Daphnia pulex: one gene and its partners. The protein of the gene in region 1 interacts with the protein of each later gene in a pairwise test. Links are inferred from orthologs where the notes say so. Each region holds a gene or a part of one and is shown in the gene's direction. Other genes may lie near its edges. The genes, in order: cytoplasmic protein NCK1-like, sorting nexin lst-4-like and neural Wiskott-Aldrich syndrome protein-like.

Region 1 (3,753 bases):
GGAAGCCGAGTATATTGAACCAGGTGAGCATTTCTCTTCTTGGGGTCCCATCTTCCGTCATCATCCAGTGAGCCATAAGTTGGAACAGATTCGGTAAGATACTTTTGTCTGAATAAAAAGGCGTTTCTATTTTAATTACAGTAAATTTATTCTTTATTCAGGTTCAACATGCTAGATCGGTCGCCTCTTTCTGGTATCCCACAAGAGGAAGTCGGTACCCATTATCGTTATCTAAAAACCATGGCGACGCTCGTAAAGAAAAAAGAAAACGAATATCGGTTTCGTCTCTCACCAGGAACCGTGATGATAATTGATAACTGGAGGCTCTTGCATGGGCGTGAAAGTTATCAGGGTGAAAGAGTATTGAGAGGTTGTTATTATTCCCGATCGGACTTTATGAGCAAAGCGCGACATTATGGAATAATATCTTGATTAAACTGCGCCACGATTAATTCGTCAATGCACAATAAAACAATACCATTTTCAAGACAAATTATTTGTTATTTTAAACCCGCATTTGGAAACGCATAGAAATTTTCGAATTTAATGTAAACTGAATATGATTACCGGAAAATAAATAATCATCAATTTAAAAAAAATTATAAAAGACTCGTCAGCTCCGCAAAAATAAAATGTGAATAAAACAATTTAATGTGTAGTAAAAAAAATTCATAAATGATATTACTGGCGTGGTCCAGTGGTTATGGTACCCGATCATCATGAGGTGGAAAGATTGGGATGGTTTCACCTGCGGCTCGTGGATACTAGTCAAACTAGCTAAATGAAGTACAGCATAAATAGAAATAAGTCTCTTAGTTCCCTCTTGGCTGAGCAACTATTTGAAAATGCAACAGTGCAATAATCGTAATCTGTTACGATATTGCATGCGCGGAAATCATTCCAATGACCAAAATTGATGGATCAATCCTCTATAAATTCTAAACTTTTTTTACAATGTAAATTTCACATTTTATTTCTCGTCAGCTCCGCTCTAGCCTTTAAAGTAAATGGCAACTCAGCAGGCATCGTATTCAACATGGCAGCTAACTAAAAACTGGCCCTGCCCACGAAAAGTTTTTCGAGGATTAAAATCGATAAAGACGAGTCATTGAATTGAATTTGCATCGTTCAGCTTGAGTATTGCTCAAAATCAAAGCATTTTTGGGCAGTGATTGCTCATTGGTGTCCGCTAAGGGTCGCACAACATAATGTCTAGCAGTCTAAAAATGGGTATGTTGGTTTATTATTATAGGGTGACTCATTATGCAGTTGTCATTAGTTGATGTTTATATGTTGGTTTATTGCATTCGTTTCAGGCAAAGCCATTGAAGACTGTTATGTCATTGCAAAGTATGATTATGTTGCCCAAGGATCACAGGAGTTGAGTTTAAGGAAGAATGACAAACTTCTATTGCTGGATGACTCAAAACATTGGTGGAAAGTTCAAAATTCTCAACACCAATGGGGATATGTCCCTAGCAATTATGTGAAGAAGGAGAAACCATCTATATTTGACTCAATCAAGAAGAGAGTGAAAAAAGGGAATAGCATCAACAAATCCTCCAACAGTCCCGGTGGCTCTCCCGTGAGAGAAGTTGATTCTCCAGTAGTAATCAAGCGCCCTTCTCCTGATACATCACATTATCCAGCTCATGATCTCAATGCAGGGCCTCACCAAGGCTGGGCGCTTGTTCGTTACAATTATGTTGCTCAGCAAACTGATGAATTGTCTCTTGTGAAAGGTAACTTGTTGCAAATTGACGTCAACACCCCCAGTATGTTTACTAACACTTCAATCAATGCATTTATTAGGAACAAAGGTGCTCGTGCTTGAAAAAAGCAGTGATGGTTGGTGGAAAGGTCAATACCAAAACCAAATTGGATGGTTTCCATCAAATTATACCCTCCCAGATTCATTACAACAGCAGCAGCAGCCTGTAGCAAACATGACAGCAAGCGTCGCACCGCCGGCTGCATCAGCTATGGTTATGTCTGCGGGAGAACACATGTACTCAGCAGCCGAGAATGTTTTGGATGTCGTAGTTGCTCTTTACAGGTAAGCCGAATTTTAGTCATTAATTTGGATTAAAATTTATTTTGGTATTTGATATATTTTACAGCTTTGCTGCACAAAATAACGAAGAACTAAGCTTCGTTAAAGGCGAGAGACTTGAAATTCTTGATCGTCCACCTGCAGATCCGGATTGGTATCGAGCCCGGAACACCAATGGTTCAATTGGTTTGATTCCAAAGAACTACGTTCAGGTATTATTTCGTCGTGACTAATTAATTATTGGTAACGTTATGCTCGTTACAATAAAACTTGTTCTTCTTGTTTCTTTAGGAGATTAGCGACTTTTTGACCGAACCTTTCCGTCAACGAGCACCTGGTGGTAATGGTGCTCCAGGTGGGCCTCCTGTCAGCAATTTGCCCCCGATGCCGAACAACGGAAGTAACGCAGTAGACGGCATGGGGCGAAGTTTGGATGCCTTGAGTTTGAATACACCTCCCGCCGTATCTGCTAGCCTGAGCCAGGATCCTAATTTCCCTCACTTGAAAGAAAAATCCTGGTTTTACGGAGCCATCACCCGAGCTGAATGCGATAATCTACTTAATCAGTATGGTCAAGATGGAGACTTTCTTGTGCGATCATCTGAAACCAACGTAATTTGTTTAAAAAAAAAACTATTTTAGAGTTTACGTTTACTAATTCATTTGTAAATAATAGGTTGGAGATTACTCCGTGTCTCTGAAAGCACCCGGTCGCAATAAGCATTTCCGAGTCCACGTCGAAGGAGCTTTGTATGTCATCGGTCAGCGGAGGTAAGATCGGATTATATTCATTTCATAGTCTTCCAATTACATTCTGATTAATATTCGAATTAGGTTCCATTCTATCGACCAGTTGGTAGACCACTACCAAAGATCCCCCATTTTCACGTCAGAAAAAGGAGAACGTCTCTTCCTTATCCGACCACTACCCAAGCCTGTCGGATATATCCCACCTTCTTTTGCACCACCCACTCCGGCGACAAGACCGATGCAACCGATGGCCTAATGGCGGTCTTAACACAAGTAGCTCTAACCAAATGTGTGGGTTTATTACGAACCCACTGTTCTCTCTTTGAAGGATAAAAAAAAAAAAAAAAAACACAGAAGAGACAACTCTCTCATCTCTTTCGATAGCTCCCCCACCCCAATAACTTTTTTCTCGCCGTTGACAACGATCCATTTAATTCATTTATGCAATTATTCGGCATTCATCAGATACGACCCAAGGGCACTTGGAGAGTGCGTTTTCAAGCTCACTTGATGAATTTAATCTCGTAGCTAGCCCGATATATTGGACAGACTTACTCCCAGTTAGTTTCCTTAAATTTTGATTGATAACACTAAAGGGGCACAGCAGCAACAACAACAACAAAAAGTAACGGTTTCCAAAATATGAGAAGAGATGGCGAGTGAAAAAGGAAACACAAAATATATAACTTCAGGAGGGCACCGGTGGTATCACGGGTCCATTCGTTTATTCAAATTTTTGGTTTTTGATTATTATCAATTTTTTCTTCAAATAATCATTCTATCGCCATCTTTTTGAGGGTTTCAGTTAAATTGAGGGATGTGTGGGTTTAAGAAGGGATTCGCTTGCTTTCATTCCCAGATTGGTCGCTCACTCGTCATCACCATAGACCTCAGTGGAACTGTGCGTTATTATTATTATTAATTTTTTTAAAACTCGTGTTGGTATCGAG
Region 2 (3,753 bases), on another chromosome or scaffold:
TCAAGAAGATGATCCCATAATGAGAGTTGATTTTGGATAGATTTTCCCTTGTTTATATCATTATCATGAGAATTTTTTGACATTTTTTTAACTTTTTCATTTTCTTCTCCTTCACTGTCATCTACACTTCCAATGTCTCCTTCCTCTTCTTCCTCCTCTTCTCCCTCCTCTTCACCCTCCTCTTCACCCTCCTCTTCACCCTCCTCTTCACCCTCTCCTTCTTCAAAATCAGCTTCTTCGTCATCTTCAGATTTATTCAATTCACTTTCATTACTATCTTCTTCATGAATATCAGATTTCAATGAACCACTTTCGTCTTCTGATTCCTGGAAGATGTTGGGTTTCTCTGATTTGTTGTTTGTTTCTTTCATGAATTTGTTCTTAAATTCCAGAATATTTTCTTCCCCACTTTCATTATCAGATTCTAAAGATGACTCAGAACTTTTGTAGCCTTCTCCTACAGGAGAATTTAGATCTTTGCGACTGACACGCTTCCCAGCATATCGGCTATCTGAAACAGCTAATAATTCCACATTCTTTTGGCGTAGATTAGATTTATTTTTTGGTGCTTTATTCTTAACCACCTGAGTGTTATCATACGACTCATATTGGTCATCAAAGGACTCCAGCCTTGCTTTACTTTCTAGAAAGATTAGAAACACTTTAAGAAAAACAAGTAGGTGTTATTTTGTTTCAATTTGTTACCTTCGTTATATTCATCTTCTGGATCAGCAAACTGAGGTGTTGGATTGGCAAGTTCGGCTAATCTTTCACTTAGGGATTTGCCTTTCGACATTTCATAAATAAATGTTTCACAATGTATACATTTAAGTTTCAGTATTCTAAAATAATTGATACCGCGTGTCGCGTGTTTTACTACCAATACACGTTGCAGACGAATTCGAACAATCGTACTTCTTTTGTTTTTCTTTCAAACCAATGCAGTTAATATCTTTCTACAGTAGATGGCATTACTTACTAGACAGAAGAAACATTAGGGCCTTAAAATGTCACTCGGGTCTCAGATTTTGTAACTTATCGTTTGGTTTCAGATTCAGCTCTGCTCATCACTGACTCATTCCTCTCAGCTGTTATTAGGGGGCGAGACGAAATCAGTTTGACAGCACACAGCAGCAGGGGTATTGTAAAAAGCTGAGTTTTTATTCTTCGAGATGGCTGGTCAGGTAACTTTTGAGTTTTGATTCCGGTTTTTCTAATTATCAGTTTCGTCTTCTAGTTAGAACTATAAATTTTCTCACTCCTGTAACTGCTGTTACCATTTCATTAACCATATCCGGTTTCGAAACCAGTTTAATTTACAAAATGAATCGTTTTTCTAGGCGCGCGTCCTTTATGATTTTGAAGGCCAGCCTGGCACATCTGAACTATCTATTGTTACTGGTGAAGTTCTAACTGTCACTAGTAAGGATGTTGGTGAAGGATGGTGGGAAGGTAGTAATCAACGTGGAGTTAGTGGAATATTTCCTGCAGCCTACGTTGAGGTATGAATTTCTTCCTACTCCTGTTATGTCATGCATGCTAGTGTAAAACCAGAAAAGAATTTTGTATCATTTGGATTTTTCTGTATTAATAACATGTAAATTGAATTATTTTAAACCTCAAAAAACCATTTTATTGTATTAATTCAACAGGCTATTGAACAAAATTACAATGCACCTCCTGCTATGCCTCCTCCTCCATTGCCCCAGATATACGTAGAGGAAAATGTAGCTCCAGCGATTCAACAGCAACAATCACAGGTATTCCAAAAACATTGTGGAGATTCCTGGTAACTGTATTAATAAGGTATTTTCAATCTACTTCCAGTACGACGATGATTGGGATGACGACTGGGATGATGACGTTTCTGAAGCCAACCAAGGTAGCAATCCGGGAAACCCTGCTGCAGGTGGGAGAAGCAATAGCGACGTTGGTAGTGCGCTTGATGTCAACATGGCAGGGTTGAAATTGGGAGACGGTAAAGGAACCGTTCGTAAAAATTTGAACCGGTTTTCTCACTTCGTTAAAACTGGCGGAGAAGCTTACATTCTGGGGGCAAACAAAGTGACGTCCACTGATAGTGACCAAATCCACATCATCGAAACCAACAACGGTATCACATGGGCTCCGAATCCTCAACCTTACTCGTGTGTAGTGGCTTCACCAAAGAAAGAATCAAAATTGAAAGGTAATATTTTTACAACCTAGTCGACTAATTTTTAAATATAATTTAATGTGTCAACTTGTTTCTATGTTTTCATCGTAGGCCTAAAAAGTTTCATTGCCTACCAGTTGACACCGTCGTTAAACAATATCCAGGTTTCTAGGCGATACAAACATTTCGATTGGCTTCACGAAAGACTTGTGGAAAAATTTTGCATCATTCCCATTCCTCCCCTTCCAGACAAGCAAATTTCTGGTGATTTCTTATATTTGTAGAATTTTTGGTTGAAGTCGATTTGCTGAACTTGTGTACTTAAAATAGGTCGGTATGAAGAACAATTTATCGAGCGAAGACGTCTACAGTTGCAATCATTTGTTAGCCGTGTGTGTGACCACCCAATTCTCTCACGCTCCGATGTCTGGTTGCACTTTTTAACGTGCACAGATGCCAAACGATGGAAAACGGGCAAGCGGAAAGCTGAAAAAGACGAAGTAATTGGCGCCGCAATCTTTGGTGTTGTACAAGTACCAGAAAAGTCGCTTGACCCACTACAACTGTAAGTTTTTGTTGTTGTTTTTTTTTTTTTCAACTGTTTATTTGATCGCTTTTACATTTTTCTTGATCATAGTGACTCTCAGACCGAAGCTTTTGGGCGTTTCGTGCAGTCGTTTGATACAGCTGTCCGCATGATGCAAAGCAACTTTGCCGAACAAGTAAAACGGCAGCAAGGTCCATATAAACGCGACTATCAACGTGTTGGCCAATCATTCAGGTAGGTTTCAAAGAGAAGTGCTCCGCCCTTGTATTGTTGTTAACCAACTGTTTGTCTCTGTAGAACTCTTGGCACGGCTATGGAATTGCTAGAGACAGCTCCTCTGACCAGAGCACTTTCCCATACTGCTGACACGTATGATCAGATAGCTCTTCTTTGTGAGGACCAACCACGATTGGATTTCGAGCCGATGGGAGATTTACTACACGATTATCGTGGACTACTTGCCTCATTTCCCGACATCATTACCGTCCACAAGGTAACCCAGCAATTTCGGCAATTTTTAAAACAATACTAATTTTTAATTTATAGGGGGCCCTTCAAAAGCGGCGCGAGTTGGAACGCTCCGCATCTGAGGGTAAAACGGAAAGCACCGTTGTAGTTCGTGCTCAACAACGAACAGATGTTGTTTCCTACACGCTACTGGCTGAAATGTCCTATTTCCATCAACAACGTGTTCACGATTTTAATGCAGCCGCAAAAATCTTCCTACAGGAACAGATCACTTACTATCAAAAGGTTATTATTTATTTTTCCTTTTTTTTCTTTTTGCAACTTCTCTACTAATACCAGATGTTTGAAATGTATTTCATTTAGATTGTCGATCATCTGCAGTCCACCTTATCCCAGTACAAGGATGTCTAAGAAAAAACAACAACCGCAGTACTCGGATTTTAAAAGTCGCATTATTTTTTTTTAATTCCATTCCTTCATGCGAATGAACGAAGTTTCTCCTAATTACTTTGGAATCCTGGCCGCCACGGATTTTATCTTTTGTTTTCTTTCTTACGGGAAACATTCCCTCAGATGGTTTGAA
Region 3 (3,753 bases), on another chromosome or scaffold:
TTATTCTGTACAATGTTGATAACCAATTGATTCAAACATTCTTGACCGGCTTTTGCAACCGAATCAGTAACTGCACACCAAAAGAAAATAACCATCAACGTTCACGGCCACGCAGCTTCAAAAGAAAGAAGATTTCTAAAAACGACATTAGTTTGCCTGTTGATGTCAATGTGATACAGCGGAATAGCCAATTGTAACAAGTGCAAACCAATGCGACGAACGAGAGGCAGTTTTTCTTTGAGCCATTATTTAATGACTAGATTTCGAAAATCAGCCGAACATAACTTAATTTGCTTAATAGAGGAATGTTAATATTAATTACACAAATCTATCTAAATCTCTTTATGATTGGCACGTTTTTTTTAAGTCGGACGGTTGTTTTTTTCATCACTAATCACCATTTGATCAAGTCTTGATCAGGCTGTTTGTTATCACTTATGAAAGAATTTATCGGCAGGGGATTTTCGTCAGACATGTGACTCACAAATGTTTTTGCTTTAGGCCCGATACGTTTTCTGGCTGGGGGCGTAGGTAAAGCGGGAACTGCAGAATTGGAAGGCTGTTTAAATACACTACTTGGTGTAGTACTACTTGATGATGCTGCTGTGGTACTCCATTTAAAAATGCTCTGAACATACCAAAGATTTTATCATTTTAACAATAATTTTCCCTTAAAATTTTTCCTTTTAAACTTACCTTTCCACCAAGACTTTCCAGTTTACTCTCTAAAATTTTGACTTGGATTCTCAAATGTTCATAACTAAATAAAAATTAATTTTATGTCAGCACTGTCCATGTATGAATTATTATGAAAAATTTTACCTGGCTTGCCTCAAGGCTATGACCCAATTCTGTGCTTGATTCACACTGAAGCAAGAGAACACATGTCTGTCTTGATCACCAGAGAAAGTAACAACAAAAGCAAATACCCCAGATCCATCTTCATCAAATGCTACGGAGCAATTTTCTAAAACTATCACACCAATAGGCTCCTGCAAATGAAATTTTAACAGCTTAAAAATGAGACCAAAATTCTTATTTTCTGTACTTCAAACCTACATTTCCTTTAATTCCTCCAAAATTGTTCAAACCGAAGTAAAAAAGAAGATTGCCTGTCAATTTAAACCAGAATTCCTTGAAATTTCCTTTCGACTTTCCCGGATGAAGAACTCTGTAATTTATTCTTCCTTCAATCCTATTTCAAAAAGAATTTTTGTATAATAGTCATCGTATTTATTCTAATACACAATCTAATGTCTCACGTCGCAGGTTTGAAGGAGGTGGTTATTAATTCTTTTCCATTCACATGCATTTTGGTTTAAAGAATCACTGAAAAAAATATATATATTCATCAACAAGATAAAAAATAATGATATATGGAGCAAATCGAATGAAGAGATAAAAGCACAAAAAGATGAAGTTCTTAGAAATGAAAGGCGATCAACATTCCGAACATGAAGTAAACAACTGATCCCAACCCGTGATTCTCATAGCGTTTATGAATTTACCGCTAGATGGAATTGTTTCGTCCTGTCTGATGTGGACCAAACCATTGGACCGTATTGGACTATTTCCTCAAGATAAAACTCTCGTATCTTAAAATTGTGAAACACCGTGTGTAGATCTTCATGAGACTGGTAAGGGAGTGACTGCCGTAAGTGTTTATGAAATAAGCGTATAAATAATAATTCAATTGAATGATAATCGTGAAAAATTCGTTCAAACAATAAGAACTACTTATCCTTATTTACAGTTGTGTGACAGTTACAATTTAATATAAATTTGTCGATGTGTTTACTAGTTTTCGATCGAAAGTTTAATTGACACATTTTGAAAAATCTAGAACCAGTAATAACATTGCCATGACTGCTGCCAAGCGTCCCCAACCTGAAAACAAACCATCATCTATTCTTTCACTAGAAGAAAATGATCAATTATTTAAACTCATTGGCTTGCGCTGCAAAGTAAGTCCCCCCAGTACTAGATTCTTCTAAAAGTCAACATTTAATGTTTTGTAATTTTTCTTTTTCAGAGTATGGCGTCAGCTGTGGTTCAGGTCTGTTTTGCTGATCCACCCAATAGATCCACATGGAACAAACGGCATTGTGGTGTAGTCTGCTTCATCAAAGATAATATCAAGAGATCCTATTTCCTTAGAGTATTTTGCCTCGACAGGCAATCTGCCATCTGGGAGCAAGAATTGTACAGTTCTTTTGACTACTGTGCACCAAGACCTTACTTTCACACTTTTGAGGGAGATGTGAGTCCTGACATTCATTTGATCATATTAGTAAATTACAATATCAATTTGGTTAATATTTTTCGAATGCAGGAATGTCGCATCGGGTTTAATTTTGCTAATGAAGGCGAGGCAGAATACTTTCTGATGGCTATCAAAGAATATTTGAGGATGAAATCGGAGAAACGAGGTGTGTACATTTTGATGTTGACAAATAATGGTTGATTAATAGCTCAGTTGTTGTGTTTTAGAACGCCGTCGTTTATCACAGCAGCAAGTGCAGCAACCGCAACCAGGAAAACCCACGCCAGTCGCCACGAACGGATCGGTACCAAAATCTACAGCAGTACGATCAGCGACAATCACAAACAGTATAACCGTGACAAAAAAAGGGAAGAAAGACAAGAACAAGAAAATTACCAAAGCGGATATTGGAGGGCCATCAGATTTCAAACACATCAGTCACGTTGGATGGGACCCCAATCAAGGATTTGCACTTGACAACGTCGATCCAAATCTGTTGAAGTTCTTCGCCAGAGTAAGACGACTATTTCGCTCAGCATTTCTGTGTTTAACTTTTCTATGGTCTTAACTTAACTTCTGTTATGGTTTAACTTTTTTTTCTTTTGTAATGAAAGGCCGGCATATCGGAGAATCACTTGAAAGACAAAGCAACACGTGAATTCATCTACGATTTTATCGACAAACATGGAGGAAAAGAAGCGGCTATTCGTGAGATTTCGAGTTTACAGTCATCCGGCGGCAGTTTGTTTTCAGCACCTCCGGTGCCAGCAAGGAATCCTCCGTCTACACCTCAGACGGCAAGGATCGCTCCTCCGGCACCACCCGTTTCAGCTCCACCGCCGCCACCTTCAAGAGTGATTGCCTCCCCTCCATCTGTTGCTCCTCCAGCACCTCCTCAACGTGCCCCACCACCGAAAATGGCACCAATTAACAACGTTGCACCCCCACCACCTCCTGTCGGTGCACCTCCTCCTCCTCCACCACCTCCACCGCCTCCTTCATTTGGTGGACCTCCTGCTCCTCCTGTTCCTTCATTTGTTGTTTCGTCTCCGTCACTCCCACCCACTCCAGCTCAACCCGATGTCCGTGGCGCCCTGATGGACGCCATCAAAGAGGGACACAAACTCAAATCGGTGCCGAGTGATGCCGATCAATCGATGAAGAGTGGCGCTAAAGTGCCAGCCTTCGATTCACGCAACGATTTGTTGGGTCAAATAAGAGCAGGAAAGGAACTGAAACCCGTGGAGAAAAAGGCTTCTGTTGTTGCCGTCAGCGACGATGTCATGGAAGGTATGGCCGGTGCCTTGGCCAGGGCCTTGGAGGAAAGATGTCGTGTCATCCATTCCGACAGTGATGAAAGCGGCCAGGACCCAGATGAAGATGACGATTGGGACGATTAATAAAATTTTTGTGAAAATCGTTCCCTATATCAAAAGCAGTCCTCGAGTTTGACGTAGTATTATTTTAAAGAGACTTATTAGTCTTTTATC

What was found.
Region 2: the proteins of cytoplasmic protein NCK1-like (region 1) and sorting nexin lst-4-like interact in a two-hybrid assay, tested with the Drosophila melanogaster proteins (2 studies listed by BioGRID). The link is inferred for Daphnia pulex from reciprocal best matches to the Drosophila melanogaster genes dock and SH3PX1.
Region 3: the proteins of cytoplasmic protein NCK1-like (region 1) and neural Wiskott-Aldrich syndrome protein-like interact in a two-hybrid assay, tested with the Drosophila melanogaster proteins (2 studies listed by BioGRID). The link is inferred for Daphnia pulex from reciprocal best matches to the Drosophila melanogaster genes dock and WASp.

The regions. Positions count from the first base shown.
Region 1 is NC_060024.1:8,484,387-8,488,139, reverse strand, and holds the start of cytoplasmic protein NCK1-like, read left to right. Parts: upstream 1-1,014; 5' UTR 1,015-1,208; coding exon 1,209-1,230; intron 1,231-1,316; coding exon 1,317-1,742; intron 1,743-1,812; coding exon 1,813-2,056; intron 2,057-2,120; coding exon 2,121-2,265; intron 2,266-2,344; coding exon 2,345-2,665; intron 2,666-2,729; coding exon 2,730-2,824; intron 2,825-2,887; coding exon 2,888-3,059; 3' UTR 3,060-3,753. Other genes in the region: trimethyllysine dioxygenase, mitochondrial-like, read left to right, coding at 1-93, 162-432. UniProt on the Drosophila melanogaster protein: Adapter protein that links cell surface receptor tyrosine phosphorylation to downstream signaling pathways and effectors, many of which are involved in regulation of the actin cytoskeleton.
Region 2 is NC_060028.1:5,996,111-5,999,863, reverse strand, and holds the start of sorting nexin lst-4-like, read left to right. Parts: upstream 1-985; 5' UTR 986-1,172; coding exon 1,173-1,184; intron 1,185-1,340; coding exon 1,341-1,502; intron 1,503-1,652; coding exon 1,653-1,760; intron 1,761-1,827; coding exon 1,828-2,188; intron 2,189-2,266; coding exon 2,267-2,419; intron 2,420-2,485; coding exon 2,486-2,720; intron 2,721-2,792; coding exon 2,793-2,936; intron 2,937-2,999; coding exon 3,000-3,195; intron 3,196-3,248; coding exon 3,249-3,455; intron 3,456-3,533; coding exon 3,534-3,581; 3' UTR 3,582-3,753. Other genes in the region: protein AATF-like, read right to left, coding at 1-643, 706-796.
Region 3 is NC_060019.1:7,011,747-7,015,499, reverse strand, and holds the start of neural Wiskott-Aldrich syndrome protein-like, read left to right. Parts: upstream 1-1,494; 5' UTR 1,495-1,637; exon of another isoform or gene 1,638-1,654; intron 1,655-1,697; exon of another isoform or gene 1,698-1,843; 5' UTR 1,844-1,862; coding exon 1,863-1,964; intron 1,965-2,032; coding exon 2,033-2,260; intron 2,261-2,332; coding exon 2,333-2,429; intron 2,430-2,490; coding exon 2,491-2,777; intron 2,778-2,877; coding exon 2,878-3,663; 3' UTR 3,664-3,753. Other genes in the region: wiskott-Aldrich syndrome protein-like, read left to right, coding at 1-197; pleckstrin homology domain-containing family J member 1-like, read right to left, coding at 395-628, 697-760, 823-992, 1,060-1,195, 1,263-1,312.